4 linked regions of the Pelodiscus sinensis genome follow. The protein of the gene in region 1 purifies or fractionates together with the protein of each later gene. This does not show direct contact. Links are inferred from orthologs where the notes say so. Each region holds a gene or a part of one and is shown in the gene's direction. Other genes may lie near its edges. The genes, in order: EZH2, ARID1A, FAM120A and SMARCA1.

The links.
Region 2: the proteins of EZH2 (region 1) and ARID1A purify together in Homo sapiens (affinity purification with mass spectrometry; 3 studies listed by BioGRID, with this or other methods). This does not show direct contact. The link is inferred for Pelodiscus sinensis from reciprocal best matches to the Homo sapiens genes EZH2 and ARID1A.
Region 3: the proteins of EZH2 (region 1) and FAM120A purify together in Homo sapiens (affinity purification with mass spectrometry, with the first as the bait; 3 studies listed by BioGRID). This does not show direct contact. The link is inferred for Pelodiscus sinensis from reciprocal best matches to the Homo sapiens genes EZH2 and FAM120A.
Region 4: the proteins of EZH2 (region 1) and SMARCA1 purify together in Homo sapiens (affinity purification with mass spectrometry, with the first as the bait; 3 studies listed by BioGRID). This does not show direct contact. The link is inferred for Pelodiscus sinensis from reciprocal best matches to the Homo sapiens genes EZH2 and SMARCA1.

Annotation. Positions count from the first base shown.
Region 1 is NC_134712.1:160,850,116-160,857,182, forward strand, and holds the start of EZH2 (histone-lysine N-methyltransferase EZH2), read left to right. Parts: upstream 1-4,063; 5' UTR 4,064-4,600; intron 4,601-6,208; 5' UTR 6,209-6,236; coding exon 6,237-6,274; intron 6,275-7,067. UniProt on the Homo sapiens protein: Polycomb group (PcG) protein. Catalytic subunit of the PRC2/EED-EZH2 complex, which methylates 'Lys-9' (H3K9me) and 'Lys-27' (H3K27me) of histone H3, leading to transcriptional repression of the affected target gene.
Region 2 is NC_134735.1:2,199,091-2,206,267, forward strand, and holds the start of ARID1A (AT-rich interactive domain-containing protein 1A), read left to right. Parts: upstream 1-4,161; 5' UTR 4,162-4,756; coding exon 4,757-5,902; intron 5,903-7,177. UniProt on the Homo sapiens protein: Involved in transcriptional activation and repression of select genes by chromatin remodeling (alteration of DNA-nucleosome topology).
Region 3 is NC_134721.1:50,965,598-50,973,268, reverse strand, and holds the start of FAM120A (constitutive coactivator of PPAR-gamma-like protein 1), read left to right. Parts: upstream 1-4,661; 5' UTR 4,662-5,055; coding exon 5,056-5,529; intron 5,530-7,671. UniProt on the Homo sapiens protein: Component of the oxidative stress-induced survival signaling. May regulate the activation of SRC family protein kinases. May act as a scaffolding protein enabling SRC family protein kinases to phosphorylate and activate PI3-kinase.
Region 4 is NC_134723.1:29,595,733-29,602,608, forward strand, and holds the start of SMARCA1 (SWI/SNF-related matrix-associated actin-dependent regulator of chromatin subfamily A member 1), read left to right. Parts: upstream 1-3,872; 5' UTR 3,873-3,951; coding exon 3,952-4,032; intron 4,033-6,876.

The DNA of each region.
Region 1 (7,067 bases):
TGTGTTGAGTAGCCCTGCTGTAGTCCTAGGCCAGAGTAAAGATCAATTCTGGCTTGCACATTTTACCTGAGATAAGAAAACAACTGTTAGGGAAAGAGTCTGCATGTAACAAGTTTCTTAGTGGATTGAGGAAGGCTTCTATGTGGACCCTTACTAATGGTCACAACGATAATCTTGATTTCTACACTGACTGCTTTCGCAAACGTGCTTGAGCTGACATTGTCAGCAAACAACATATAACCACAGCCATGCAGAAAGCAATGCTATACACAACCTCAAAAATAATTCTAACATCATAATCAAAGAGGCTGACAAAGGGGGCCCTGTAGTCATCATGAACTGAACAGGAGGTGACCAGACAACTCATCAGCACCAAATTCTACAAGCCTCTCTCCTGTGTCTCACTAAAGAATTCCAAAAAAACCTGAAACAGCTGCTCATGAGACTCCCTTATGACCAAATTTATACTAACAACCCCCCCAATCCCTGACCAAGAGTCTTCTATCTGCTACCCAAGATACACAAGCCTGGAAATCCCAGACGACCCATCATCTTAAGCATTGGTACACTTACAACAGACCCTGTGCTACCAGCACTTCCTAGCTATCTTTGAGACACCACTGACTTCCTGAGGAAACTACAAAACATCAGTCATCTACCTGAAAATACCATCCTGGCCACCATGGACATAGAAGCTCTTTACACCAACATTCCACATGAAGATGGATTATAGGCTATATTCCCTGATTGCAACATTGCACACCTGGTTACAGAGCTCTGCAATTTTGTCCTCACCCACAACTACTTCCAGTTTGGAGACAATTTGTATCTTCAAGTCAGAGGTACAAACATGGGCACCCGATGGCACCACAATATGCCAATGTCTTTATGGCTGACCTTGAACATTTCCTTTGCTCTTGCCCCCCCAAGACCCTTACTCTACTTATGCTACATTGATAACATCTTCATCATATGGACCCATGGGAAAGAAACCCTTGAAGAATTTCACAGAGATTTCAACAGCTTCCATCCCACTATCAACCTTAGCCTGGATCAGTCCACACAAGAAATGCAGTTCCTTGACACAACAGTACTATTAAATGATGGACAAATTTCCACCACCCTATATCGGAAACCTACTGACCGCTACACTTACCTTCATGCCTCTACTCATCCATGTATTGTATACAGCCAAGCCCTCCGATACAACCGTATACAGCCAAGCCCTCCAATCCCACAGACAGAGACAAACACCTAGAGGATCTATATACAGCATTCTTAAAACTGACATACCCAACTGGTGAAGTGAAAAAAACAGATCAACAGAGCCAAAAAAGTACCCAGACATGAACTACTTCAAGACAGGCCCAGAAGAGAAAACAACAGCATTCCACTTATCACCTACAGTCCTCAACTTAAACCCTTCCAACACAGCATCAACAGTCTACAGCCTATCCTAGAAAATGACACCTCACTCTCAGAGGATGTTTGGATGCAGGAGTGCTCGGGGCTGGGGCAGGAGCTTGGGGTGTAGGAGATTCATGACTGGGATAGGGTTTCGGGATGTGGGCTCCAGCTGAGCACTGCTTACCTCAGGTGGCTCCTGGTTCATGGTGCAGTGGGGCTAAAGCAGGCTCACCCTTGCCCTGGCCTACTCCCTAAAGCAGCCAACAAACTGCATTCCAAGTCCTGTTGTGCCCCCTCTCTGCTTTGTGGAGAAAGGATACAGATTGGCAGGGGGTAGCTTGACATCTGCACCCCTTCTCTGCACAGAAAGCAGGAGGCTCCCCAGGGGGAGAGGCAGCTCTAAGGCAAAGGGCAGGAGATGAGCAGCAGTGAGGGGAGGAGCAGCTGAAGTGCCAGCACTTGATAGCCTCTTGGCCAAACCAGTCAGGGTCACATGTCAGAGGCTCCAAGATCTACAGGTAGATCCCGATCTCCAAGTTGGTGACCACTGAGATAAACAAACAATGGAACACAAGAAAACAATGAGACAGTGCTGGTTAATATGACTGGCTGTGATATCAGCATACCAACTACCTAATTCTATTTATTATATCTTAAAGGAGGGTGTTAAAAAAGGATTTCTAGTTTCACAGATTGCAAGGCCGCAGGTGTCCAGGCCATAGAACTTTCCCAAAATAATTCCTGGAGCATACTTACCATCTTTTAGAGAAACATTCAATCTTGGTTTTAAAATTGCCAGTGATACAGAATCTACCAAGAGCCTTGGTAAATTGTTCTAATGGTTAATTACCTTCACTGTTAAAAATTTCTAGTATGAATTTGTCTAGCTTTAACGTCCAGCCCTTGGATCATGTTATACCATTCTCTACTCATTTGAATAGCCCATTATCAAATATTTGTTGTTCCCTGTGTAGCTATTTATAGATTGTAACCAAGTCACCCCTTACTCTTCTCTTTGTTAAACTACACAGATAGATTCAAGGATAGCAATCATTTTAAGTCATGTTTTCTGATCCGTTAATCATTCTCATCTCTCCTCTGAACCTTGTCCAGTTTATTAATGTCCTTCTTTAAAGGAAAATGACGAGGTACCTGAACATTCTAGGGTTTGTTTGTTTTTTGCAAATAATGGGGGAGCCCAAACTTATAACTCAATGAGGTGGGGGGCTCAGCTCAAAAAGTTTAAAAAACTACTCATTGTTGGCAGATGGGCAGCTGACGAGCAAGTATCTGATCAGCAGTAAGACCAACTAGTACTGATGGGAGGGGAGAAACTGAAAATATGGGACAATTTGCCAATTTTAAAGAAAAAGTAGGAACACCTTCAAGGGGGCTTTTAGAGGACTGTCTCTTTGAAAATGGGACATCTGTTCATCTTAGTTATGAAAGGCCTACAAAATGAAATCAAGAAGCTTAAGTTTGTTGCAATGACAAAAGAGGAGCTGTAGCCAATGAGAGCTCTGGATGGTAATATCTGGGGGTGCAAGGTTAACCAGCCTTTTTGGCAGCCTGCTAGTGGCTTACCCCATAGGCCACACATATGCCCACCACTGGATTATAGTAGAGGGACACAAAAAAAGGCAGGGCTGGCAGTGGCAAAGTGCCTATTTAGGAAAATAATCTTCACTCAGTAATGGGGCAAGATTGTATTTGTCAAAGCCAGAGACAAGATGTTGCAGTAATTGAGACAGAAGTTGATGGGAACCTAGACTTTTTTAAAATTATCATAGAGTTTATGATAATCATGGACCAGACCCTTCTCCAAAGAGCATGTCAGGATGGATTGAAACTAAAGGTCTTATCTTGCAGATATGATGCAGAAAAAAAAAATCAGCTAGATTTAAATAATTTGGTCATCAATAAACTGGTGATCAATAATCTGGTCATCAGCCTTAACCTGCCCTCTCTAGATTCTCACAGCCTAGATGTGAGACTATAGAGATGGCAAATTAAATCAGACGGCCAGATTAAAAATCTGGTAGGGACAATAGCAACTTGACTATGGGTCGGCAATAGCATGAAGGAGATAGACCTAAAAGACACGATTGACCGGTGAGACAGAGCACATCTTGCTGGTGCTCTGATTTCCGTGGTTGTACGAGAGGAGTGGGTGGGCTGTGTTAGGGCTGCGGTTCCACACGCCTAGCCCGCAGCAGAGGAAAGGGATGTGGACGGACCCTGAAGCCAGAGAGGGGGCAGTTCTCTGTATGGCGGAGGCGAAGCACAGAGCACGCATGGTGGGGAGGGAGAAGGGCCCCTCCACGCCGGGCACGTTTCTGATCCGCCTGGCAATTTCCGTGCCCCGGGAGTCAGGGCAGCGATGCAGTTACTGACGCAAGCTGCGTGGGGAAGGTGGCAGGTCCCGGGCGGCGCTACAACCGGTTTAGCAGAGCCGGTTTGGGAACTCGTTCGGCGAAGCTAAGGCTGGGGGCGGGGCTGGGAACGAGGCAGGGCGGAGCGGGTCAAGGTCCGGACCGCTTGCCAGCCCGCCCGCCCGCGGGAAGCAACAGGCAAAGGGGAGGGATATTGAGTGGAGCCGGCTGAACCTTAGTCTCCGCCCAGAGCTGCCCGCGCGCGCTGGAGCCGCATGACAGTTAAAACCGTTACCGCTCCCACTTTCGAACTGATTCAAACTCAGCAGCGCCCAACAGCCTGGCCCCTCCCTTCCCGGGCTCCGCGGGCGCTTCCTCTTCCACCAACCCCCAAAGACTTCGCCGCCCGCAGCCGACGGGGACTTCAAGGCTCCCCCCATTGCCCGCGCGCGCCGCTACGGGCGCCCCAGGGGGGGGGGGGGCTGAGGGGCGCGCGAGGGGAGCACGGAACTCGCCAGGTCCCCAGCCAGCGCGAGAACAAAGAGCGCCCTTCCACCCCCTTCTTCTTTCCTCCCCCCCACACGTGGGGCGCGAACGCTCCGCCCCCGGCACCGCCTCTGGCCGAGGCGGATTGGCTCAGGCGGCCCCTCCACGTCCGTCCAATCGGGGCGGTGCTTGGTTCTCTCCAATGAGCGTGATGCCGATTGGGCCGCCGGGTTTGGCGCTCGGTCCGGGAGGGTGAATCCGGCGGCAGAGCGAAGCGGGGACCCGGAGGCGGCGGCGGCAGCGGCAGCAGCACCGGCGGGCGTTGGGGAGCGGGGGTGAGCGAGCGAGCGCGCGGGAACGGCTATTTCTAACCTGCGCCCTTTGTCCGGGGGGAGGTGGCGGGGGGATTATTGGGGGATTGAATGGGGGGGGGCAGCCGCGAGGAAACTCCCCCCCCCCAGCGGGAGAGGGCGGTGGGGCGCGCGGGGGAGCGGGCGGTGGCGGGGCGCGCGCTGCCGGCCGGTGACAGCTGGAGAGAGACACGGAGCGTGAAGCGCCCTTTGTCTAAGTTGGCTCTGCCCACCCCGGCGGAGGGGATCCCCTCCCCTGGACCGACCCGACTGAGACAAAGACGGGACTAGAGCCGAGGGCTTGGGACCCCTAACGAGGGCGGGCGCGAGGAGGAGCGCAGCTTGTCTCTTCCTTAAACCCAGTCCCCTCACTCCCCATTGATTGACTTCAGACTAGTGGCGGGTGCAGGAGCAGTTTGACTGTGGGGAACCCCCTCCCCCCCTCCCTCCCTTCCCCCGGTTACAAGGCAAACGAGGTTTTAAAACGCCTGATTGAAACGCGCAGCAAAACCCTTCGTTCCCCGAGAAGGAGGCGGGAAAAATTGAAATTACGCTCCCCACGCGGGGCGGGGGGCTCCTTGCTGCGGGGAGACGTTTAGGCACTTGGGCAGGTCTGCTTCAGTCTCATGTGTTCTTACATAGTCTCCCGGAAGCTGATGTTCCGTGCGGGGGCTGTTGAGCTGTCTCTGGGTTGTTCCTCCTTTTGCTGTTTCATACGAGTTGCTGTTTTGAGTCTCCCCTTACATTCCCCTTCTCTATGTATACGCAAATCTTGGGTGTAGCAGCAAAGGTGTTAAATGCAAAGGCAGTGGGGGCGTGTTACTGACAAACGTACCTGAAAGCAACTCGAGTGAACTTCCGAATTTCTAAAGTTCAGTACTGGGTCCCTGTCTTCCACAGCATTGCCTGGCTTTTCCCAAGTTCAGATAGGCTGAAGACTGTGATTCTAGAACAAAGTGTATTGAACATGAGCACACTTCAAAAAATATGTTTTTTATTGAGTCATTTTTGGTAGGTGTAAGGGGGTGGTGTTGGAGGAAGCTGCCTATTTATTCACACTGTAAGAGTCAACGAGTGGCTGGTAAATATGATGCAGTAAGACTGATGTGTAATCTGGTATTATTGTAGTGTTCAATGTTTAATAGTTGCCTGCAGGTGATTCAGAAGTTATTGGGAGTGAGAAGAAGAAAAGAAGCTTGTAGGTGTGTTTATGTAAATTAATTTGGATTTTGTTCAAGTAGCTTCTTTTCTAGTTCTGAAATACTATCCACATTGTTCTGGAGTGGAAACCATACAGCATTAGAAAGTTGGGAGTTCAGATTTCTTTTCTTTTCCCTCTCAGAAATGAAGACCTTGAAAGACTTCATTTTTAGATTTGTGTTTGCAAAATTCACCTTTTGTGCTATTCCACTGAATGGAGTTGTATAGGTTTACACCAGGATACAAATGTAAAGGGATCAGAAGTATGTATTGGGGATTCTATTGAATTTCTAACCTGGGATTTCGTTATCTAGTTTTAGAGAGTAATGCTCTAGAGTCTGAATGCAATTTGTAAGAGTTAATTAAAAGGCCACTCTTTCTGTTTATTCTAAGTGTCCATATCAAATTGGGAGCCCCTGGAATGTTTATTTGTGGTAACCAGAAAGCATGTTGTGAAGGGTGAGTACTTGTAAGCACTGTACTGTAAGTACTTTCAATTTGGTCTCTTAAAATGTGAATATTCAAGACCTGTTGATACCTCATGAGCAATCCTGCAATATAGCACTCTTATTTGGTTTTGTTTTCTTTATTATTTTAGTGTGGAATCTTGCATGTGAATAGGATATTAGAGAATATGTTAACTTTTTAATTCTATGTACTTTTTATTCACTCACCTAAAGAGACAATCCTCTGTTGCTTAGCTGTTTTGAAGATGTTTGAGACATTAAATAAAGGGTTATCTTTAAACGATGAGACAAATTCTTAGGAGACACCTCTTGTTTTCATGAAAATGTACCTAGTTATTGAAAGGCAGTGGTGGAAGTGTCTACATAAACATTTTTTTAAAGCTTCCCATGAGGTGTCAACAATTATTTTGTCTTAAAACTATGCCATATTCAATAGTCACTAGTTTAGGTTGACCGCAATCTGCAGGATTTGGGTTTGTCACAGGGATATTAAAAGATAACTGCTTCAAAAAGTGACTTTGTGGAACTCTTTGTCACTGACAGGCAAATCAAATGAGCTGTTATTTTTATATATATCTTTAACTTAGTCCTGTAAATTGAAGCTGGGAATTTGAAGGTTAAGTTGTTTTCTTTTCTGCTTCTCATTGGAACTACTGAAGACTTCAAGTGGAATTTAGTTAGCAATGTTGACAATAGAAAATAGTTCTCTTCAATAAGAAACAGAGGACTGAAATATAGTAATCATTACATATAATCAGCATATATATGGGATTTAAAGGCCCTTA
Region 2 (7,177 bases), on another chromosome or scaffold:
TATAATATAATATAATTATAATTATATATGGAGATATACCATCTCATAGAACTGGAAGGGACCTTGAGAAGTCATCGAGTTCAGTCCCCTGCCCTCACAGCAGGACCAAGTATCATCCCTTTGGCACATTAAAGAGCCGCTTGCTGCTCACAAGCCTCAGTCTGAGTATCACTGCTTTACACTGAAATGTAGGCTCCTGGACTGTATTTGATAGCTTCTAAAGGGGTCCAATGAGATGGCAAAGTTTAATTTCATGAGGCACACTCTAATTTGGTTTCTACTCAGGATAAAATGGTAGTGCTTGTTCCAGTTTATTTGTGCTTGATGTGCAGCGGTTTAAAATTTGTTAAAATTTAAAGTGGGGGAAGTATCCTTGAAAAGGGTATCCTGTCGTTTTGTTGCTCTTTAATCTTCTTTGGATTTTACAGCCCACCATAGAACTTGGTAAAGCCACAGGGCCACCTTTGTGTGAGAATCTAGCTTGGTTTCTGTTCATTTCCTTTATTTTTTTCATACACTTTAATAGTGATGTTCTCATAGGGCAAGCATATAAAGACATGCCATGCCCAACCCTCCTCTGCTAGAGGAAAAGTTTTGTGATAGACTTACAAATGGGTAAAAAGAAAATATTGGTGATTTTTGGAATCCAACCCAAATGAAGCCCTCTGAAATTGTTTTAGAATTGCGTGGCAGTTGGTAAAGTGCATCTTGTGAAGGAGATTCCAATCCATTTTCTGGCTTTATACTATCATATAATTTTTGTTTTAGACTAGACTATACATTTTTTAGTAAGAATTGTGTCTTCCTATATGTTTTTGTGGCACCAATCCTAAGAGCAGCTTTTGGGTGGCTATTACAAAATAAATACTAATACTATTAAAAATACTGTAGCTATTATTATGTATTATTCCATTGCAACCCTAAGTAAAATAGTAGAGGAGGAGAAGAAAAGAATCCCCTCTTTCTTTAGGCCAATTGGCTAAGGTGGAATCTACTCTGTTATACATTCTGCTGTAAAATGGCAACATGGCCTTGGTTTTGGAGCCTGTAATGCCATTTGTTACTGTGGAATACATTCTGAATTTAGCTAATCATTGACTTGTGCTAACTTCAACCCCAGCTTACTACTCTGAAGTCACTTCTGTTTTTTAACACCTGTTATATTCTAATTTTTGTATTGAAATGTATTGGTTAATTGATTGCATCAGACACTGACATTTTCTGTTTATTGTAAAGCATACACAGTATTAACAGTGACCATTTAGTGTTTCTGGTGCTGCCCTACTTACTGTCCTATGCTTGGCCTCTTTGACTGCCATCAAAGATGCTGTGATAATGCTTTTTGTGACGTGGACTATAGTTAAGAAATGGGTGAGACCACCAATCCATTTCATATATGCTTTAAGAATGTAACAGCTGATCATCTTTACTGGGAACTACTGCCCTTTGGTTTGAAATGATGTTCTGGAATTGAAAGACTGTATCTTTACCTTCCCCCTAGAAGTATGTTTTCTTATGGTAGTGTTTCTGTGTAGCAGTTCTATATCTCTTGTAAAACTTCCCTTTTACAAAAAACAAAAACCAAAACCAAACCCTTCTTCCTAATGTACTGTGAGAATGGTGATTGGGTTATAGAACTTGATTATATCAGAAAATAGCAGCTGCAACATTCACATAATGAAAGAAAAGTTACAGGAGAGGTAAAAAATTCAGTGCTGTCTCTGTCCTTCATAACTAACTACACTGTTAGGACAATGAAGTACACCTGCTATACTTTATGCCAGTGGTCCGCAACATGGTGCCTGCATGGCGTCTGCCGGGGCATTTATGTGCGCCCACTGAGTGACCAAAGCCAGCCCAAGCCATTCTTACGGCCCGGGCTCCGGGCACACGATGCATGCGTGGCCCCTGCCCCGGGCGCACAGTGCTGGACATGCGGTACGTGCGCAGCCCTCCCCCAGATGCGCGGTGCATGCGCAGCCCCAACCCTGGGCATGTGGCGCCTGCACAGCCCCGCCCTTAGGCACGTGGCACGAGCGCGGCCCTGTCCCCGGACTCCTGGCAGCCCCAAAAGGTTGGGAACCACTGCTTTATGCCCTCTCCAAGCCCAATGCATGGAATCAAGATCCAAACTGAAAAATAGTGTTGCAGGTACTAATGTAATGCGAGACTTGTTAGCAATGATATTTTTCATTGTTGAGATCCTTACATTAAAGGATCTTGCAAGTATTTTGTGAACATTTTTCTCACAGAGATGTTGGACAGATTTAGTAGTAATCTCATTTCACATATGGGAGAAACAGCGTTGGGGAGTGATCTGTTACCTATTTCTGCATTTGTTGTAGGTGTACATGGTGCTTCAAAGAGATGGGGTTTCCAATACAAAAGCCTGTTCTACTCCAGTTAATCATCAATGGGGGCAGGTTATAAAGTAGATCATATAAAGACAAAGGGTGCTGATGGATAGGATTGTGAAACAAAATTGTATAACTTGTGCACTCTTTAAAAATCTGATTACCAAGAAGAAACTTACATAATTATATATGTATTACAGACACAAAACTTTTATCAAAAAGTTTTTTAGGTTGTAAAGTCAAGCGCTTGAAAGATAGGAAGTATCAGATTTACAATAATCCATGCAACCTTAATGCAGCTCCATGTTTATCCAAACTGTTATCTGAATAAGATAAGAATCCTGTGGAAAAAAATATTGTGAACATACTGTATAATTGGAATATATCAATGTATATATTGCAAGGGGGCAGAATTCAGGTTGAATGAGCAAATCCAACTGTGACATTTCCTAACTTCCAACTGCTTGACTTTGCAGTATAATTAACTTTCTTTTAATATATTTTTGCAAGACTCCTGGGTTTTTGTAAGGGGGGCGGGGCCTTACTTGCATCACTTTAGTTACAAGACTAACTCTGCTGATGGCCTGCTGGAGCAATATGCTGTATCCACAGGGATGGCCTGACTTGGCTCTCTTTCTTGTCTCACTATCAGGAGAAAGATATTTGCCCCATGTGGTCCTCTGGAATAGGGAACATATGCTGCTCTGCCCCGTATGGATCTGGTGTAGTTATGAGAGGAGCCTGAGGTGGGAGAGTCCTGCTTTGGGTGATGCTCTCATAGAAAATGATGAAAATGAGGTAGGACATATGATTGGTCTGAAGGGTATGTAATGGGGGAGGAGGGAAGGGGCGTGGCTTGCTCTATCTTTCCCTGTCCCCTCCCAGCTCCCAGGGCAGTGCCTGCAGCTTTGGCAATAGTGTAAGCCCCTGACTTCAGCATGTTTATGTTCAGTTAGTATTTTGGCATACTGCCAACATTTTCCAAAGGAACACAAGCAACAGACAGGAAATGGAAATTTTTAACAGTTTAGAACAGTTAAATCAATGGAAAATCCTGGGACGAAGAAAAGGCTTTTATCTAGCCCAAGGGTCTTTCTTCTGGTTGAACTTCACAGGCCTGTAGCAAACAATGCAGTGTAAAAATTTCCCCCAAAAGTAGAGTCACTTAAAATTGGATCACATTAGACATCCTAAGTAATAGGCTCTGTTCCATATCCTTCTATGAAACTTGCAGTGCATGATACTGACTGGTAGCTAGAATCCTTTTCCAAACCTTTGTGGCCCATACCCTGAGAGGCTAAGGAAGACACTTCCCTCAGGGCAGCTTATTTCATAATTTTCCATTTAGAGTTTTTGTAAATTCCGCTAAAGCATCTAGTATTAGCAGACAGGATGCTGGATGGAATGGGCCCCTGGACTAACCCAGCCTGCATGTCCTTGTACTCCAGGCACTCAGATCCATGCCTGGTCCTGTGGCCAGCATAATATCCCAGTTTTGGGAGAAAACCCAGCTTTCCTGACTTCTGCAGTTAGTCCAGAACTCAGGAGTCCTAGTTCCCAGCCCTTTGGTTAATGCAGTTCTGTTTGTTCTCCTTTAGCCCAGATGAACACTAGCCTCTGGTCGTTGAAGTCATCTTTTTGGGCGCCGGGCAGTAGAGCTGCGTGGGGAGCGCTTTGGTGCGTGTTTTCTGGAGGAGGACTCTGTGGCAGTCCGCTTCGCTCAGGCTGAAATCCGCTCCGTGTTTCGCAGTAAGGGAGCTTCCTTTTGTGGCGGAAGGTTGGATTCAGCTCCGCGGGATCCACTGCGGGTTTTGTGTGCGGCAGCGGCCTCAGGTTTGCTGAGTTGCAAGCGTCCGAGGCCTGCCTGCTCCTCCTTTGTGAAGGGGGGAGGCTCCAGTCCGAGCCGGGCTCCGCTCCAGGTTTGGCAGGCCGCCGCGAAGCTGGGTAAAATGGCAGTGCTGAGCCTCGTGTCGGAGTGAGCAGGACTCGGCGGACCAGAGTCGGGAGCTGCTACTCGGCTTGCCTAGTCCGGCCACCCTACCGCACAGCCCGGCTCCAGGGACGGAGTCCGCTCGCCCGCCGAGTCCCCTTCCCTCCCTCCTCTCCCACGCCGGGAGCCCCGTCCCGGGTCCCCCCGCCTCCTCCCCCCCCTCCCCGCTCCCTCCTCCCCTTTCTCCGCCGGCTGCAACCGAGGAGGCACAGCGGGGCCAGGCCCCGGGGAGCCCAGCCCAGCGGAGCCCTCCCCGCCTCGCCAGCCAGGCCGGGGGGAATGAACCCCCGCTGCCCTGAAGAGCCCGCCGCCGCCTGAGCGGGGAGCAGCAGAGCAGTGAGGCCTCCCGCCGGCCGGCCAGGCAGGGGAGCAGCTCGGGGGCAGGAGTCCGGGGGGTGGGGAGGGGGGGATCATGGCTGCGCAGGTCGCCCCCGCCACCACCAGCAGCCTGGGCGCCCCGGCTCCCGCCGAGCTGAAGAAAGCGGAGGCGCATCAGCGGGATTGTCCCCCGGAGGAGGCGGGGGGCGAGGCGGCGGCGGAGCGCGGCGGCGGCGGAGAGAAGCAGGCGGAGAGCGAGGGCCCCCCGGGAAAGGAGCTGCAGGACGGGGCCGAGAGCAACGGAGGGGACGCCGGGGCCGAGCCAGACCTGAAGAGCTCGAACGGGAATCCGGGCCCCAGGCCCGCCGCTGCCGCCGCCACCCTGAACAATAACCTCCCGGAGCCGCCCGGTGGCGGCGGCGGCGGCAGCAGCGACGGGGTGGGGGCGCCGCAGCAGCAGCCGCCGCCGCAGCAGCCTCCCCCTTCGCACCCGGCCGCCTTGCCCCCGCCAGCCTACAGCTTCGGGCAGCCCTACGGCCGGGGAGCCCAGGTTGTTGCCGCCGCTGCCGCCGCCGCGGCTGCCTTCCACCAACATGGCGGACAACAAAGCCCTGGCATGGCAGCGCTGCAGAGCGGGGGCCTGGAGCAGCCCTACCCGGGACCGGCGGGGGCCCCCTCGGGGCCGCCCCCTCCCCAGAACTCGCACGGCGGTGCTGAGCACGGCTTCCCCAACCACCAGTACAACTCCTACTACCCGGCGGCAGCCGGGCGCAGCGCCGGCGCCTACCCGCCTCCCCCTCAGGCCTACGCCCTGAGCTCCCCCCGGGGCAGCGCGCAGAGCCCCGCGCAAGCGGCCGCCGGGGCCAAATCCCCCGCCGCCGCCGCCTTCCAGCAGCAGCGCTTCGGGGCCATGGGGCCCTCGGCCGCCGGCGGGGCAGCAGGAGGAGGGGGCGCCACCCCGCAGCCCACAGCGACTCCCACCCTCAACCAGCTGCTCACTTCCCCCAGCTCAGCCCGTGGCTACCAGGGCTACCCCGGGGGCGACTACAGCAGCGGGCCCCAGGACGGAGGAGCCGCCTCCAAAGGCCCGGCCGCGGATATGGCCTCCCAGTACGGCGGGGGCAACAGCCAGGCCTGGGCTACGGCCACAGGAGGGGGGCAACAAAGGAGCCACCACGCGCCCATGAGCCCCGGGAGCAGCAGCGCTGGAGGGGGACAGCCGCTCGCTAGGACCCAGCAGGTGAGAGCTTGGCACGGGAGGGATGCGGGTGGGGATAGGGAATGGGGTTAGGAGTAGGGGATGGGCGCACGTGGGGTGGCTGAGGACAATGGGGGCAAGGGTAGAAGAGGGGCCTCCTCAAGGGCAGGGATGAGGGCACGTGGGGATATGGAGGGGGTCACGAGATGGCCGAATTTCTTACTGTTCCCTCCCCTACTTGGACCCACATTGCTGGGGAGCTGCCATTGTCTGTCTCTGTCTCTCTCTCTAAAATGGCTGCCTCTCTGCCTACTCTTCCTCCCCTTCCAGCCTTTGTGTGAGGCTTCTAGAGAGGTGCCTTCAGCTTCCTACTTCCCCTGCCTGCCTTGGGGGCTCTTGAGGGGAGATAGAGGGAGCCCTGGGGTGGAGGAAGGGCTTGGCGCTGTGGTGCTTGTGTGCATGAGGGGAAGGTGGGTAGCTGAGCTCCTCGGGGCTGGGCTGGGGATGGGGTGCGAGGAACAGAGGTAGTGGGAACTCTGCAGAGCAGCACTTACACATTTGCCCCCATTACACTCTTCCTCCTTCTCCTCTTCTTGCTCCTAGTGAGGGGCCTTTTCACTTCCTGGGGGTAGGAAGGTGGGAAGTGGCCTGCTTTGGGCAGTTGTAGCTTGCCCAGGCAAGCTGTGGCCATTTTCCTGAGCAGTCTCTTGGCTAGCCCAGTGGCTGGGCCTCTCCCTGGAAGTGCTGGTAAACAGTTCAGCGATTGGAGTAGTAAGTGCAGATTGCTTTGGTTTGGGATTTGAATTATGGAGGTAAAATCCTTCTGTCAAAGCCAGGAGACAGTTGGTCTTAGGTTGACATCCTATCTGTGATCTGATTGGCTCCTCATCTCCTGCTCTTGGCCATTTATAATTGCCTCTGATGTAATGGTACAACAATCCTGATGAGCTCATAAACTTTTACACTCTGCTTTTCTGCCAGCCATAACCCAAACCATCACTGCCACTATCTGCCTTTTTATTCCACAGCTGAAATTGGCTGTGACCTTGAGGAAGTTCAGTAGCAATACTGTATCAGCAGGAGCAGAGTTCCAGACAGGCTGCCCTTGTTGCATTGTGCATGAAACAAAAGAAGAGGCGATGGCATTTTGTTTGTACCTTGGATTTATTTTGCTTGTAATGTTTTATACAGCCTGGAATAGATTCTGTGTTGTCGGAAGAGTAGCAGGGGTTCTCTGTACAATGGGCTTGCTGTTTGTTTTGGTTATGTGACTTTCCCATTGGTATAAAGGATTTCTTTGATGGCTCTAAGGATGCA
Region 3 (7,671 bases), on another chromosome or scaffold:
TAGAAAGAAATGATATAACAGAATAATGAAAAATGGGAAACAAAAGAATCTATTCACAGAACTCTTATCCCATTTGATGGGGTACTGATGTAGACAGGAAGGCTTGGCAGATTTTCCTTGAGAAGGGACAAAATGTTTGGGGCAATTTAAAGAGACAGTTACAGAGGCCTGAAGAAAGTACAAAGAGCAGCAGGCCTAATCCCCGCACTCAGGAGAGAAATGGGGAAGAAAAGTTAAAGGTAGCCAGATAAAGCATGTGAGCTATGCCCCCTTCCTCACCCATACTACAGACACTCTGCACAAACTACACATTCACCCTCTTCTTCAAGAGTGTCTTTAACAAAGAAATCAATGATAACATTTATATCAAACCTTCAGCCCTGAATTGGCTGCTCATAGAGACCTCCCTCACCACAGTTCAATTCATTCCTTCCAGAAAACCACTCCCAATCCTCTTGATATTCAGCTTGAATAATGAGTCACTGACGTTAATGAGTCACTTTTAACCTTTACCCAGCCAGACCCATCCTGTTAATGGGGTAACATTGCCAGTCTGTACAAACCAGTTATGAAATAACTGTCTATAATGAGATTTCTTGCATCTTCCTTTGAAGCATCTTGACCCACTGATCTGATCTTGTATGGCCATTCCTCTTTCTGCCTCAACCTAATTGCTTAAATTGTAGGCCAGGGAACGTGGCCCCACTTTATCCTTGGTGGTGAAGACAGGGGCAAAGAAATCATTTAGCTTCAATGACTTCTCCTTAATTGCTGCCTTAACTCTCTTGCACTCCAGGTTTCCCAGCCCTGGTCTACTCTAGGGAGTTATTTCAAAATAACAAGCCGAAAGTCCACACTACCAATCCCATTATTTGAAATAAGGGGCTGGTTATTTTGAAATAATAATTCATGCTTTCCTTGAGAAATAAGCTTATTTCAAAATAGTTATTTGGGGAATTATATCTAATTTTGTTATTTCAAAATAATTTCCTAATGTAAACATGCCCCCGCTGATTATCTCATAGGCTGTTTCTGAAATATTGTATTTGTTTTTGTATTTTTGGCTATTTGCTCTCATATAAATTTCAGTCTTCCTAATTGCCATCTTAATTGTGCCCACCATAATTTATGCTGCTGTTCTATTGGCTTCACTTGACCCAGATTTCCAATTTCTGCACAAATATCTGTTTGGCCTGAATAATGCCCTCACATCAGGCTCAGTCCTGTTCTCTCATTCAAAATCCACCTGAAACCATTGGTGGACCTTGTGAGAGAAATAGCTTGAATCTCCAGCAATGTGCAAATAGCAGCTTGCTCTACATAGGCTATATTGCACATTTAAAGACCACCATTTCCAAATCAGCACCCAGATCTCCTGAAATCCCCTCCTTTTCAGTTCTCAGTTTCACATTATTCTTACTCCTACTCAACTTCCTAACTTCATTCTGGGAGAGCTGCTTTTAAACAGTTTCTCTTTTTTTTTAGAATACACAGTGAATTCATTTTGGTTCATGGTTTTTGTGTATTTATTTTTTAAAATGGTATGTTGGGGCAAAACCAAATGGCTATAAAATGGCCCTCAACATATTTAGGCTAGAAATCAGATGAAGGTTTTACACCATCAGAGGAATGAAGTTCTGGAACAGCCTTCCAAGGAGAGTACCAAGAGCAAAAAAACCCCTTATATTTCAAGACAGAGGTTGGTAAGTTTTTGGAGGGGATGGTATGATGAGCTTGCCTACAATGGCATATGGCCCATCTGCATCTGCTCTTAGCAAATATCTTCATTGCCAGGAGATGGGGCTCTAGATGGGGAAGTCTCTGAGTTACTACAGGGAATTATTTCCCAAGTATGGATGATGGATCTCAGTGTCTAATTGATCATATATCGGGACAGGAAGGAATTTTCTCCTAGTCAGATTGACTTTGCTTCTTCTCCTTCTTCTGCAGTGTGGGTCATTTGGTGATTTGAGTGTATTGTAAATGGTGTATTCTCTGTAATGTGAAATCTTTAAAACAAGATTTGAGGACTTACAGTATCTCAGTCACATGTTATTGGCCTATCACAGGAGTGGATGTGTGAGGTTCCATGGCCTGCAATGTATAGGTCATCAGACTAGATTATTATGATTGCCCCCCTCCATGGTCTATGACATTGGCATTGAGATAGTTATGTAATGTTCAGCAGGGTTTCAGTGGTACAGCCATTAGTACTACAATAGGCTATTTTGAGTCAATCATCCTTAGTTACATATTAAGAAAGAATTACAGCTGATAGCATCCAGTGTGTCTTTTGGCTGTTTTGACCTCTCAGTACTGTTCTATACAAAGAAGATATAGAAATCTTACTCTGCTGGAGTTAAGCCACATATGGAATAGTTCTAAACTGTGGCAGGATTGAGCAGGATACAGCGTGGCAGATCCTCAGCCAGGAAATACATTGAAGTCAATGGAACTATGCAATTTACACCAGCTAAAGATCTGTCCCAGTGACTTCCTTCCTCCCCCTTTTGCAAATTGGTTGCGTTGAATCCTTAAATTGTTCAGAATATTGATGGAACACACCCACTTCTTCACCAGGCTTTAATTGGTTTCTGGCCTGAGATTGGATTGATTTGTAATCTTTCCATTAGAATGTGATCTAGATCAAACTCTGTGCTCCCCTTTGCAGGCTCTCTGACCATCTGTTTTTTTTAATGCTCTGCATCCCTGGCATTAATCATTCAAGCTCTGCTGAATCTTTAGATACTTAAAAAAACAATCCCACAAAAAATAAAAAACAAACCCTGAAATCCTCTCTCTCCTCTGTCAAATCCCCAATTAATTGCAATGTTTATTTATAATAATAATTTGTATTACAGTAACTATTTAAAGGTGTTTCTGCTGAAGCATCCTTAATGTTATAACAAAATTAGTGATTGTACTTTGGAAGGAGAATCCATTTAAGCCTTAGGATGAAAGCTAAATTAAGAAAAAGCTCTTACTAAATGCTCATGAACACCTTTGGAGAGTTATCTGAAAAGGTGCTGCATATTTTCCACACTGATTTAAAAAAACCCACTTTTTTCCAGGAAACATTTTTATTGAGGACTTTCACAAAGTTTTCTGTATACTTTATTCTACCATCTTCATAAGCTCCACTGGTCACTCTTAGATACAAAGGTCCTCCACGCAGTGTTAAATAAGCTTTGCTCAACCCCAAGAGTATTTATTTTAGATACTAATCTAGCCAAACAACTGAAATCTTATTAAAAATGAAACGTATCTTTACCAGTAAAATGCCAAACTTCATATAAGGCATCTGAATATTTGAGAGTTGCCAAGCATTGAGGAATACTGAGACACTATGTTGATATTTCAAAGATAATATATATGTTCTGCCAGGAAATAGCTAAGGCCAAATGTGGGATTCTTTACAAAATTTCACTAGCTGAAACCAGAGTGAACAAGTCATCCACCATAATACTTAAGGCATTTTAGAAGAGGATAACAGATCTTATTCTGGCAGTTCATATGCCACTGACTGCATGTTGCCATGTCTTTAAATTCATGTCCTGCTCAGTAGCCAGTTGTGCTTGACAAATTTGTGGCCTACATGAAGAGTTAATTTTAACATATGCTCCTGAACAAGCTTCCACATTTTGGAAGATTTTCTGGAAGTGTTAAATCTTTAGCTGTAGGTGAGGTGAGGTTCATTTCTCAATATTGAGTTTCTTTTTAAATAACTATTATTATATTTGTCTGGAGAGAGGAAACTTTAAATCATTCAAATTTGTGCCAGTTTTATATTGTTGGGTTTGGACATCACATAAGTGTGAGGGAACAGTGTGAAACAGTATGGCTTGATAGCATCTCAACAAATTTGTGTTTTGTAGGCGGAAACCTCCTAAGCCAGCGAAATCCAAGCAAGAGGGAAGGATGGTCCATCTTCTCAAAGTATTTTGAAGATTTGTTTTCCTTCCATTTGAGCTCTCAAGTTCAAAAAAAACTGAGCAGTTTTTATTTTACTTTAAATAAAGGTGAAAAAATAGCACTTCTAAAATATAGAATAACGTGCCTGTTATTTTATCAGATGCCACATCCCCCACTCTTAATGCTTGAGGTCTGTGCTTTCCAAACTGTGGGCCACAGACCTCTGGGAGTTTGCACACTAGGTTTAACATTTCCAAAGGGGGATGCAGGGATTTACAAATGAAAACCACTGCTACAGGGAGTGTGTAGATAGCTGTACTCTCTATTCCGGGTCTGGCACAAAGCCAAGCTAGGTTTCTATGCAGTGAAAGGCCAATTTGCAGTGGCCAGGTGAAGAGCAAGTCGTGCTCTCGCCATACCCCGGGCCTGAAATCCGAGCTCGGGGCCCCGCAGCGCGCGGAGACGCTCAGTGGGAGCCCACGCAGCTCGGGCCGAGCTCGCCGCTGCCATTGGCTGCTCCGCGTGCAGCTCGCTGCGCTTCCCGCGCGGCCCGTGTGCAGCGTGACGGGGCCGGCGCGGCGCTGTTCTGGGCGCGTGCACACGTGCCGGGCGCGCAGCTCTGGCTCCTCCGGCGCTGAAGCCGCGCGGCCTGACCTCCCTGCCGCGCGCCCGCCATTCCCGCGCCCCCCCCCCCACGTGTCCCGATTCGCCCCCGCCCCGCAGCGCAGCGCGCATGCCTGGGTTATGCAACAGCCCCGGCGCCCAGGCCCGCCGCCCGAGTGCCGCAGCCGGGTGCCGAGTCGGTGGCGGAGGCGCGCGCGCGGCCCGGCCCCCCGGTGCTGCCCTGAGCCAGCGTGTGCGCGGCGCGCCGGCCCGTGAGTGGCAGCGGGGGCCGCCGCCAAGTCCCGCCTGTTCCGCTCTCCCGGCGGCGGGCGGCTTCCTGCGCGCGGTGCCCCCCCCCGGCAGTAGGAGCCGCAGCGGAGCAGCCCGGAGCCGAGCCATGGCTCTGTGAGAGCAGCACATGGCGGCCGCAGCTGCCATGAGCCCCCAACCGACCCACACGACTCCCCCCTGAACGGCCGCCTCCGCAGCAGCGCCCCCGCCGCCCCCCCGCCTCCAGCCACAGCCCTCGCCCGGCCCGCCATGGGGGTGCAGGGGTTCCAGGACTACATCGAGAAGCACTGCCCCAGCGCCGTGGTGCCCGTGGAGCTGCAGAAGCTGGCCCGGGGCAGCCTCGTGGGCGGGGGCCGCCAGCGGCCCCCCCAGACCCCGCTGCGCCTCCTCATCGACGCCGACAACTGCTTGCACCGGCTCTACGGCGGCTTCTACACGGACTGGGTGAGCGGCGGCCAGTGGAACCACATGCTGGGGTACCTGGCGGCGCTGGCCAAGGCCTGCTTCAACGGCAACATCGAGCTCTTCGTGCTCTTCAACGGCGCCCTGGAGAAGGCCCGGCTGCACGAGTGGGTGAAGCGCCAGGGCAACGAGCGCCAGACGGCGCAGCAGATCGTCAGCCACGTTCAGAACAAGGGGACCCCGCCGCCCAAGGTCTGGTTCCTGCCGCCCGTCTGCATGGCGCACTGCATCCGCCTGGCCCTCATCCGCTTTCACATCAAGGTGAGCCGCGGGCCCAGGGCCTTCCCGCCTGCGGCCTCCGCCTGCCGCGCTCCTCGGCCCCCAGCGCCCCCGCGCCCCTCGGCCCCCATCGCCACCAGCGCCCCCGCCCGCGCGCCCCCCGGCCCCCAGCGCCCCCGCCCGCGCGCCCCCCGGCCCCCAGCGCCCACGCCCGCGCGCCCCCCGGCCCCCAGCGCCCCCGCGCCCCTCGACCCCCATCGCCACCAGCGCCCCCGCCCGCGCGCCCCCCGGCCCCCAGCGCCCCCGCTCGCCGCGCCCCTCGGCCCCCAGCGCCCCCGCTCGCCGCGCCCCTCGGCCCCCAGCGCCCCCGCTCGCCGCGCCCCTCGGCCCCCATCGCCACAAGTCAGCTCTTCCTATCCTCGCGTTTCTCACCCCCCCATTTTGACCCTGGCAGCGGCGCCCATTTCCAGGGAGGCGCCCGCTCCTGTTGCTGCGCTCCTGGGCCCCCATTTCCAGGGAGGCGCCCGCTCCTGTTGCTGCGCTCCTGGGGCCCCATCTCCACCAGGGCGCCAGCTCCTGTTGCTGCGCTCCTGGGCCCCCATTTCCAGGGGGGGCAGCTCCTGTTGCTGCGCTCCTGGGTCCCCATTTCCAGGGAGGCGCCCGCTCCTGTTGCTGCGCTCCTGGGCCCCCATCTCCACCAGGGCGCCAGCTCCTGTTGCTGCGCTCCTGGGGCCCCATTTCCAGGGAGGCGCCCGCTCCTGTTGCTGCGCTCCTGGGCCCCCATCTCCACCAGGGCGCCAGCTCCTGTTGCTGCGCTCCTGGGGCCCCATTTCCAGGGAGGCGCCAGCTCCTGTTGCTGCGCTCCTGGGGCCCCATTTCCAGGGGGGTCAGCTCCTGTTGCTGCGCTCCTGGGGCCCCATTTCCAGGGGGGTCAGCTCCTGTTGCTGCGCTCCTGGGGCCCCATTTCCAGGGGGGCCAGCTCCTGTTGCTGCGCTCCTGGGGCCCCCATCTCCACCAGGGCGCCAGCGCCCCCGCTTGCTGCGCTTCTGGAACCCCCCTTTTCCACCATGGCACCAGTGCCCCCTCCTGCCGCTTTTTCCAGTCCCGCTGGCCAATTCCGAGCGCTGCGGCCTGGAGAGGCGGCGGTGGCGCTGGGCAGGGTAGGGCTCTAAAATGGCAGCAGGATTGCCCTCCCGGTAATGTCCGTACCGACTTCAGAGAGGGGAGGGGGGAAGTATGAATTCCCATATCCGCAAAATGTCGTCAAAACCTGGCGGTGTCGGCTGCTCGGGCTGGGAGAGGAGGTTCGGCGAGCTCCATGGGAGCGGCCTTACTGCTGGCCAGCGGCAGCTGCACAAGTGGAGGAGGCCAAAGTTTATGCTGCTGCCGCTGCCTTCCCGCGGACCCCGAGGCTGGAGCAAAACGAAGTGTTGCTGCCTCCTGGGACTTGCAGGGTGCCCTAAGCAGGCAGAGGGGAGGGTGTAGTGCGTACCTTGGTGTCCTCAGTCTCCGCTGGGATTTTCTATTTATACATACCTGTCAGCCTGTGGAAGCAAAATAATGGTAGAGCCCCTCCCCAGTTGAACTGGCCAAATGGGCTTACAGGCAGGAAAATGACAATTTCAGCATGCCTTCAAAAAGGGGTATAAAAACCTTAATGGTTTCAAAAACAGGACTAGCTATGTTGCTTTCTCAGGTTTTCCTTTTACATGTTCTCCACTTCTTTCAGTGCATTTTATTTATCCTTCTCATCTTTATTTATTCACCGTTTATTGTCAGATTTTTCTATCCTTATTTCTCCTTTCTGTTGTAGTTTATACGCTTTCATTTGTATTTCTCTTCTCCACTCCTCTTTTCCCGCTTCCCTTCATGTCCCCTCAGAGTAGAAACCAGAGAGAGCCACATTTGAGGGGTGAGCAGGGCTGATGATAGTGTTATGTAGGGTCACAGTGAATATCCAGGTATCATCCTCCAAATGCTGATTGGCAGACAATCTTATTTTTATGTAAAGTTGAGTAGGGGTTTTTTTTTTTTTTTTTTTTTTTTTTTTTGCTTTAAAACTGTGTGTAGTGTTCTATACTAGATACTCTGCCTCCATGTTCTTTTGGGGGCCATTGTTCCATTCATTTATCTGACTTATAAAATGTCCCTTGCTGCCTGCAGTTCCCTCTTCTTAGAAACACA
Region 4 (6,876 bases), on another chromosome or scaffold:
TTGAACAAAGACTGGAAGCTATACTTATAGGATAGGAATTTCTATTGTCAGAAGCAGTGACACTTAAAAAGACTTGGAGGGAAAGGGTTGATTATAGTGAATAATCAGTTAAACATGAATTCCTATGTGATTCTGTGGCCAAAAATGGAATCACAGAACTGGAGGGAACCTCAAGAGATCATCAAGTTCAGTCCCCTGTACTCATGGCAGAATCAAGTGCCATGTACACCGTCTCTCGCAGGCATTTGTCTAACCTGCTCTTAAAAATCTCCAATGATGGAGATTCCATAATCTCCCTAGGCAATTTATTCCAGTGCTTAACCACCCTGGCAGGAAGTTTTTCCTAATGTCCTATTTAAACTTCCCTCGCTGCAATTTAAGTCCACAGGCAACTTTAATTCTATCACGTCCTAAGATCTGTAGCCTAGGGGTGAAGAAAGATATAATTTATATGGATATGGCTTGCCCATCTGACTAGAAGGTTCCAGGTTTGTCTTTCTTTCCCAAGTCACAAAGGTTGAGGGCTATAAAGCTCTATTTCTGGAGGTAGATCTGGGGGGCCACAACAGCAGCCACGATTACAATGAGGATAGTACCAAATTAAAACAATTTTTATTGTGACTGGTATTAAGATGTCAAACAATACAAAGTACACAGCACTGATTGCAAAGATAAATTCAATCACCCTCGAGGGTAGCATTAACAAAGTTTGGTTATATAATTATACTTATAAGCATACAGAAATAGTTACCTAGTATAATGCCATACTCACATACCCTCTCCAACGCGTTGGAAGGGCCAGCCTCCCTCTGCTGCTGGGACTTGGAAAGTATGGAAAACTTAGAAGCAGAGAAACTTAGAAAAAATAAGTAAAGTGAAGTGAAGCGCTTTGATGTGAAGGAGAAAAATACTTGAAGCTTTTTCCTGTCTCCCAACTACTGCCATAGCATTTTATGGGCCTCTTTCCATCATTAATACCCAATCTCTTATGGCCATAAACAGATTTCCGCATCCTGAGATTTTGTGGGTACACATACTTGATTGGATGGTGATATTGGGACATCTTTTGAATACAGGCAGTCCCCGGGTTACGTACAAGATAGGGACTGTAGGTTTGTTCTTAAGTTGAATCTGTATGTAAGTCGGAACTGGCGTCCAGATTCAGCCGCTGCTGAAACTGATCCGTTTCAACAGCGGCTGAATCTGGACACCAGTTCTGACTTACATACAGATTCAACTTAAGAACCCCAGGCATCCCCAAGTCAGCTGCTGCTGAAACTGATCAGTGGCTGATTCCAGGAAGCCCGGGGCAGGAGCTTCCTGTAGTCAGCCACTGGTCAGTTTCAGCAGCGGCTGACTTGGGGACGCCTGGGGCAGAGCAGCTGGGGTGCTGCCGGGTTGGTCCAGTAGCGCCAAGGAGCGGTGTTGCGGGACCAACCGGCAGCGCCCCACCTGCTCTACCACAGGCCCGGGGCTTTGCTCCACGTCTCCCTGGTCTGCTGGGGGGGCCACTAGCTGCGCCCCCCCCCCCCCCAGTAGACCAGGGACACGGGGAGCAAAGCTGCAGTGGCGGCGCGGGACTCCGCCGCCGCTGCTGCTTTGCTCCCAGTGCCTCTGGTCTGCTGGGGACTGTCTCCAGCAGACCAGGGACACCGGGAGCAAAGCCGCAGCGGCGGCGGAGTCTCGCGCCTCTGAGCCTTTGCCAGAGCAAAGCCTCAGAGGCGCAGGACCCCTCCGCCTCCCCGGCTTTGCTCCCGGTGTCCCTGGTCTGCTGGAGACGGTCCCCAGCAGACCAGGGGCACCTGGAGCAGCTTTTCTCGCCCCGGAGGTCGAGGTGGCGGGACTGCTGCGCTCTGGGCGGTCCCGCTGCCTGCGAGCTCCGGGGCGAGAAAGCCCCGTTCGTAAGTGCGGATCCGACATAAGTCGGATCCGCGTAACTTGGGGACTGCCTGTATACATGAATATGATCACTCTATGTCCCTCTTGGACCCGTTCCCTGTGTTCTGACCCAGCTGAAAATTTCGCCAAAAAGCCCTTTACAATTTCTAAAGAGATATTAAGGATATTCAATTTAATTTCTAAAAAGATATTAACCAATTCTTACTACACCACACTACACTACTGCTAAAGCCAACTTCATACAGGATAAAATTCCTGCAAGTCTTGCATTACTAACAAAATATAATAAAAGGGATAATATAGATCTGCAGGCTACAAGTCTGAGTGCTTAACTATGCAACCTGAGCATTACTTTAGTTTAAGTTTTTTAATGTTATGTCCTAAAAATAAATAAATAAATAAATAAATACATAAATAAACACACACACACACACACACACACACACAGAAATTCCATTCTGTGGCACCAATACTCAGCTGAGGTTATCAACATAACTCACAACACAATCTCTACTACTTGAGTAAGCGGTGACAGTAATTGGCTAAGAATATGGATCAAGAACTAGAAGGTGATAAGTTTACCACTTTGCCAGTGGGCTTCATGGATACATGTTGATAGCAAATGAATATAGAGACTAAGGAGTCCATGGTTCTAATTCAAATTCTGTAGGCCCAGGAATATGCTCCAAAGGCTACATGCCCTTCTCTCTCTAGGTTGCTTCTGTCCTTTCCCAACAATCCCAAACCATCTTGTGTTCTTGTCTTCTTCCTGGCTCCTCTGTGTGCACACGGAAGTCTCCTTGTTCTCACTAAAACAAAAGGAAAAACTATGTAGCACTCATAGGCGTGTGCAGCACATTTCATTAGGGTGTGCACCAGGGAATTTTATTTTTTATTTTTTTTAAAGGAGAACATTAACTGAATACTCAGTCATAAAGGACATACTGCGGGCGAACAGGGGCTTTCTATACATTTCTACATTCGGAGCTTATTGCATAATACAACAATCTATACTTTAACACTAAAAGAGCATATCATGGGATTAAATTAAAACACTAAGCTACTTTTTTTGAGACACTAGGGTGTGCCTGGGCACAGCTATGGTAGCACTTTAAAGACTAATAAGATAGTTTAATAGGTGATGAGCTTTCATGGGCCAGACCCACTTCCTCAGCTCATATTCTGGAAGAGAATTGTCATGACCATATATACCAAAGGAACACAATGAAAAAAGTGAACATTATTAAACTGACAAATCAGATTTAGTACAGGAGGTGGGGTGAGGGAGAGGGAGGGAAGGAATAGCTATTTACGAGCCAATGAATGGCTACCCAGGGGTGATAAGTGGGGAAGCTCTTTTTGTAATGGTTAAGGTAATTGGAGTCTTTGTTAAGGCCCATTCGTAAAGTGCCCAATTTAAGCATGAAAGAAAGTTCTGCAGTTTCCCTCTGTGATGGGGTGTTCACGTCTCTTTGAAGCAAGATGCATGCAGCGAGGCTGAAATGAAACACTAGCCCCTGTCTAGCGTGGCGCGCTGAGGCTCACAGCGTGACCCACACTGCGGGGCACAGGGCAGGACCTGACACCCGCCAAAGCCCAGCTCCCGCGTGAACGTCTCAACGTAACGAGGCGGGCGGGGGGAGAAAACAGTTCTGTGCCCCGCCCCCTTCTCAGCAACGGCTCCTCCCGCCCTCAGCTTCTTGCCCTGGCCTCGGTTCTGTCCCGCTGGGTTTGTGACCTGGAGGGGGGAGGGGCAAACAGGTCCTTCCCCCACCCCTCGGCTTCTTGCTAGGTTTGTCCCTCGCGCCAACGCTCCCGCTCACCCAGCGGGGATGAGCAGGCGTCCCTGCGCGCGCGCGCGCTCAACTCTACAGCGCATGCGCGCGCACGGATGGCCGGGTTCCCGGGCTGTCCGCCGCTCTCGGCGGCGCCTGCCCCTGAAGTCTCGCGATCTTGGCTGTGAGCGGGAGAAGGGGGCGGGGCCGCCTGGTGTTCGGGGGGGCGGTGGAGGGGCGGGGGGTCTTCAGCCCCTGAGCCGGTTGTCGACACAAGATGGACCCCAGCCCCGCCCGCTCCGACGGCGAGGAGCCCTCCACCTCCGCTGCCTCCTCGCGGGAGCCCAGCGACGAGGAGGTACCGCCTGGGGGGCGGGCGCGCGCCAGAGTCTGGGGATGGGGGCGCCCGGCTCCTCTGCCAGCCCCGTCCCAGGACCCGGCCGGCCGCAGGTCCCTGCCCCCCCCCCCCCTGCGGCTACAGTCCCCAGGCCCCTCCGTCACCCTCCCAACTCTCAGACCTAGATCTGTGCGGAGACGTGGGTTAGTCTGCGCCCACCTGTACCGCCATCCTGGCTGTGCCCCGCTCTGCGTCCCTCGGCCCCATCCGCACTCCCCGTGCCCCTGGCCCAGCTACCACCTGACCGCGCTGGCCCAGCCTGTCCTGTCTTGCGGTGCCCTCAGCCCATCCATTTACACTCCCCCACTCCTCCCCATATTGCCAGCAGGCCCAGCAGCCCTATCCAGCCTCCATACCGTCAGCCCTGTGACCCAGCCTCTGCCCCCTTTGTGCCTTCAGTCCCATCCCTGCTCCACTCCCTACTGTCCATTCATATCTCCACCCTGTTTGCTTACCCTGCCAATCACGTCCCTGCCCTTGCACCCAACCCATCTGTTACCCCTCCACACAGTGTGCCAGCCCCTCTATATCCCCCTGTGCAGTGTGCATCTCTACAGCCTCTCCCTGTCTGTCAGCCCTCCCCATGGGTACCACCAGTCTCATTTTATAGCCTGGAAAAAGGACTTTGCTCACCTTACCTAGCTGGGAACAGGTTACCTATATGCAGAGCCATTTAGTGAAGCCTTTGTAAACAGTTACTTTCTGGATGAGATGGAGGAAGGAATGTGGGGAAGTTTGAGCTATTGGGATACACTTTTGAAGATGAGTGGGAAGGGTATGATACTTCAGTCCGTCCCCCCATTGACCGACCGTTCAATGTAGCTGACTCAAAGGAGTAGGGAGTGGCTTGCCAGTGGCTGTTGGCTGGTTCTTGGCTCTCAGGTTCTTCTGTTATTCCTTTCACTCAAAGCTACTTTCTTCTGCACATGCAGTTTAAATTGCTTTCATAATCCACATCAAGCAGCTCCAAAGAGCATGTGTGACTCTTACCTCTTCCCTTCAGTTTTCTGCAGAGATAGCAAGCCAGGACTCTGAGTGCACATCTACATAGTCGGACTCTGCTACAGTTCAAAAGTGGAAGCCCCACAGGGAGCGCGGGGCTCTTGTACATTTCAAAAGCAGAATCACAGCAGAACTGGTGTGAGCAGAGACTGCTTCAGTCCCCACTTGCGCTGTATCCCGCTGTGCCTCTACCTCCCCTGCCCCCCACAGAGACAGTGCTGGGGGGAACTGGCTTTTAAGCTGGCTCTCTCCCAGCACCAGGTCTTGCTTCTCCCTGTGCTGCCTCTCTCTGATAGAGGCAGCAAAGTGGGGGACAGGACTAGTTGATTAGTTGCTTACAACCCTAGTAGAGAGAAGTAAAAAAACATGTCGTAGTAGTAATTAGTTGGCTGTGAACTGTGTAGTATGTATCTGGAACATTAAAACTAAGGAACAATAAGGCTACGTCTACACTGGCCCCTTTTCCGGAAGGGGCATGTAAATTTCACTAGTCGTCGTAGGGAAATCCGCGGGGGATTTAAATATCCCCCGCGGCATTTAAATAAAAATGTCCGCCGCTTTTTTCCGGCTTTTAAAAAAGCCGGAAAAGAGCGTCTAGACTGGCCCCGATCCTCCGGAAAAAGTGCCCTTTTCCGGAGGGTCTTATTCACTACGACGACTAGTGAAATTTACATGCCCCTTCCGGAAAAGGGGCCAGTGTAGACGTAGCCTAAAGGTGTTAGAAGTGTGAGCAAGGATTACCTACACTACAGGGTACAATTTGTGCTATGAAGTTTTCCATCTGTCAACTGGCAAAAAAATCCCTGACACAATGTTTAGATGGAATAGTAGAAGTTGATATATGCTACTGAGAGATTAAATATTGTATTAGTCTTGATTATGTGTAAGAAGGTCACATGTTTCTAACAAAACAAAGCTTGTTGCTGCTGTATAGCACTAGTTCATTTGGAATCATGAATAGCTGAGAAATGCAAAGCTACACCTCCTATAGATTTGACTTCAGCAAAGTGCCCCCAGAGCTGGATTGCAATTCAGATGCATAAGCAACATGTTAGTGTCTGGAAGTCTTAGGTAATGACAGACTGGGTTAGTATACTTTGTCATTATGCTGGTTATACTTTGTGTCACGTTAATGCGTTGTTGTAAATAGCAATTTCAATGCTTTTATTAACTTCATCTAATTTTCAATAGTCACCTGGAATAGATTTTTTTTTCTTATATATAAACTCTACCACATGGCAACTAGGTGGATAGTTTTTACATATGTACCTGCAAACATTCAGCATAGGAAAGGCAAAATAAAAAAACAACAAAAGCAGCAGTATTTCTTATACCTCCCCATGACTTGGTTAGGCATTTGGCTTAGTTTAGAATGTACTGTTGCACTTTCCCACTAGCCTAGAATGCTTTCCCATAGCCTAAAGCTAGCATCTTTGTTAATTAGATCCCTGGGGTTACGCAAGTTGCACTGTTAAAGTTGTGACATATTTGGAGACTCCTCCATGATACGGAATACTTAACTACACAGACTTTGAATATATTCTCTAAGGTAGTGGTACTCTACCTATTTATCATTGTGGGCTGCATATGCAGTTCTTTGTTATCTGGGCTACATCCACACAATAAATATGCTATCTGAATGGCCCTGAGGATGACTTATGTGGCAGGTTGAGAACCACTGCTCTATTGACTAGGAATGAATGAGTTTAATTGGTTAACCCATAAGCTAATGCTTATTGGTTACTGGCACTGGTTATTCTTTTCTAAGGGCTTCTGGGAGCTGAGACACCCCAGGCGCAAGAG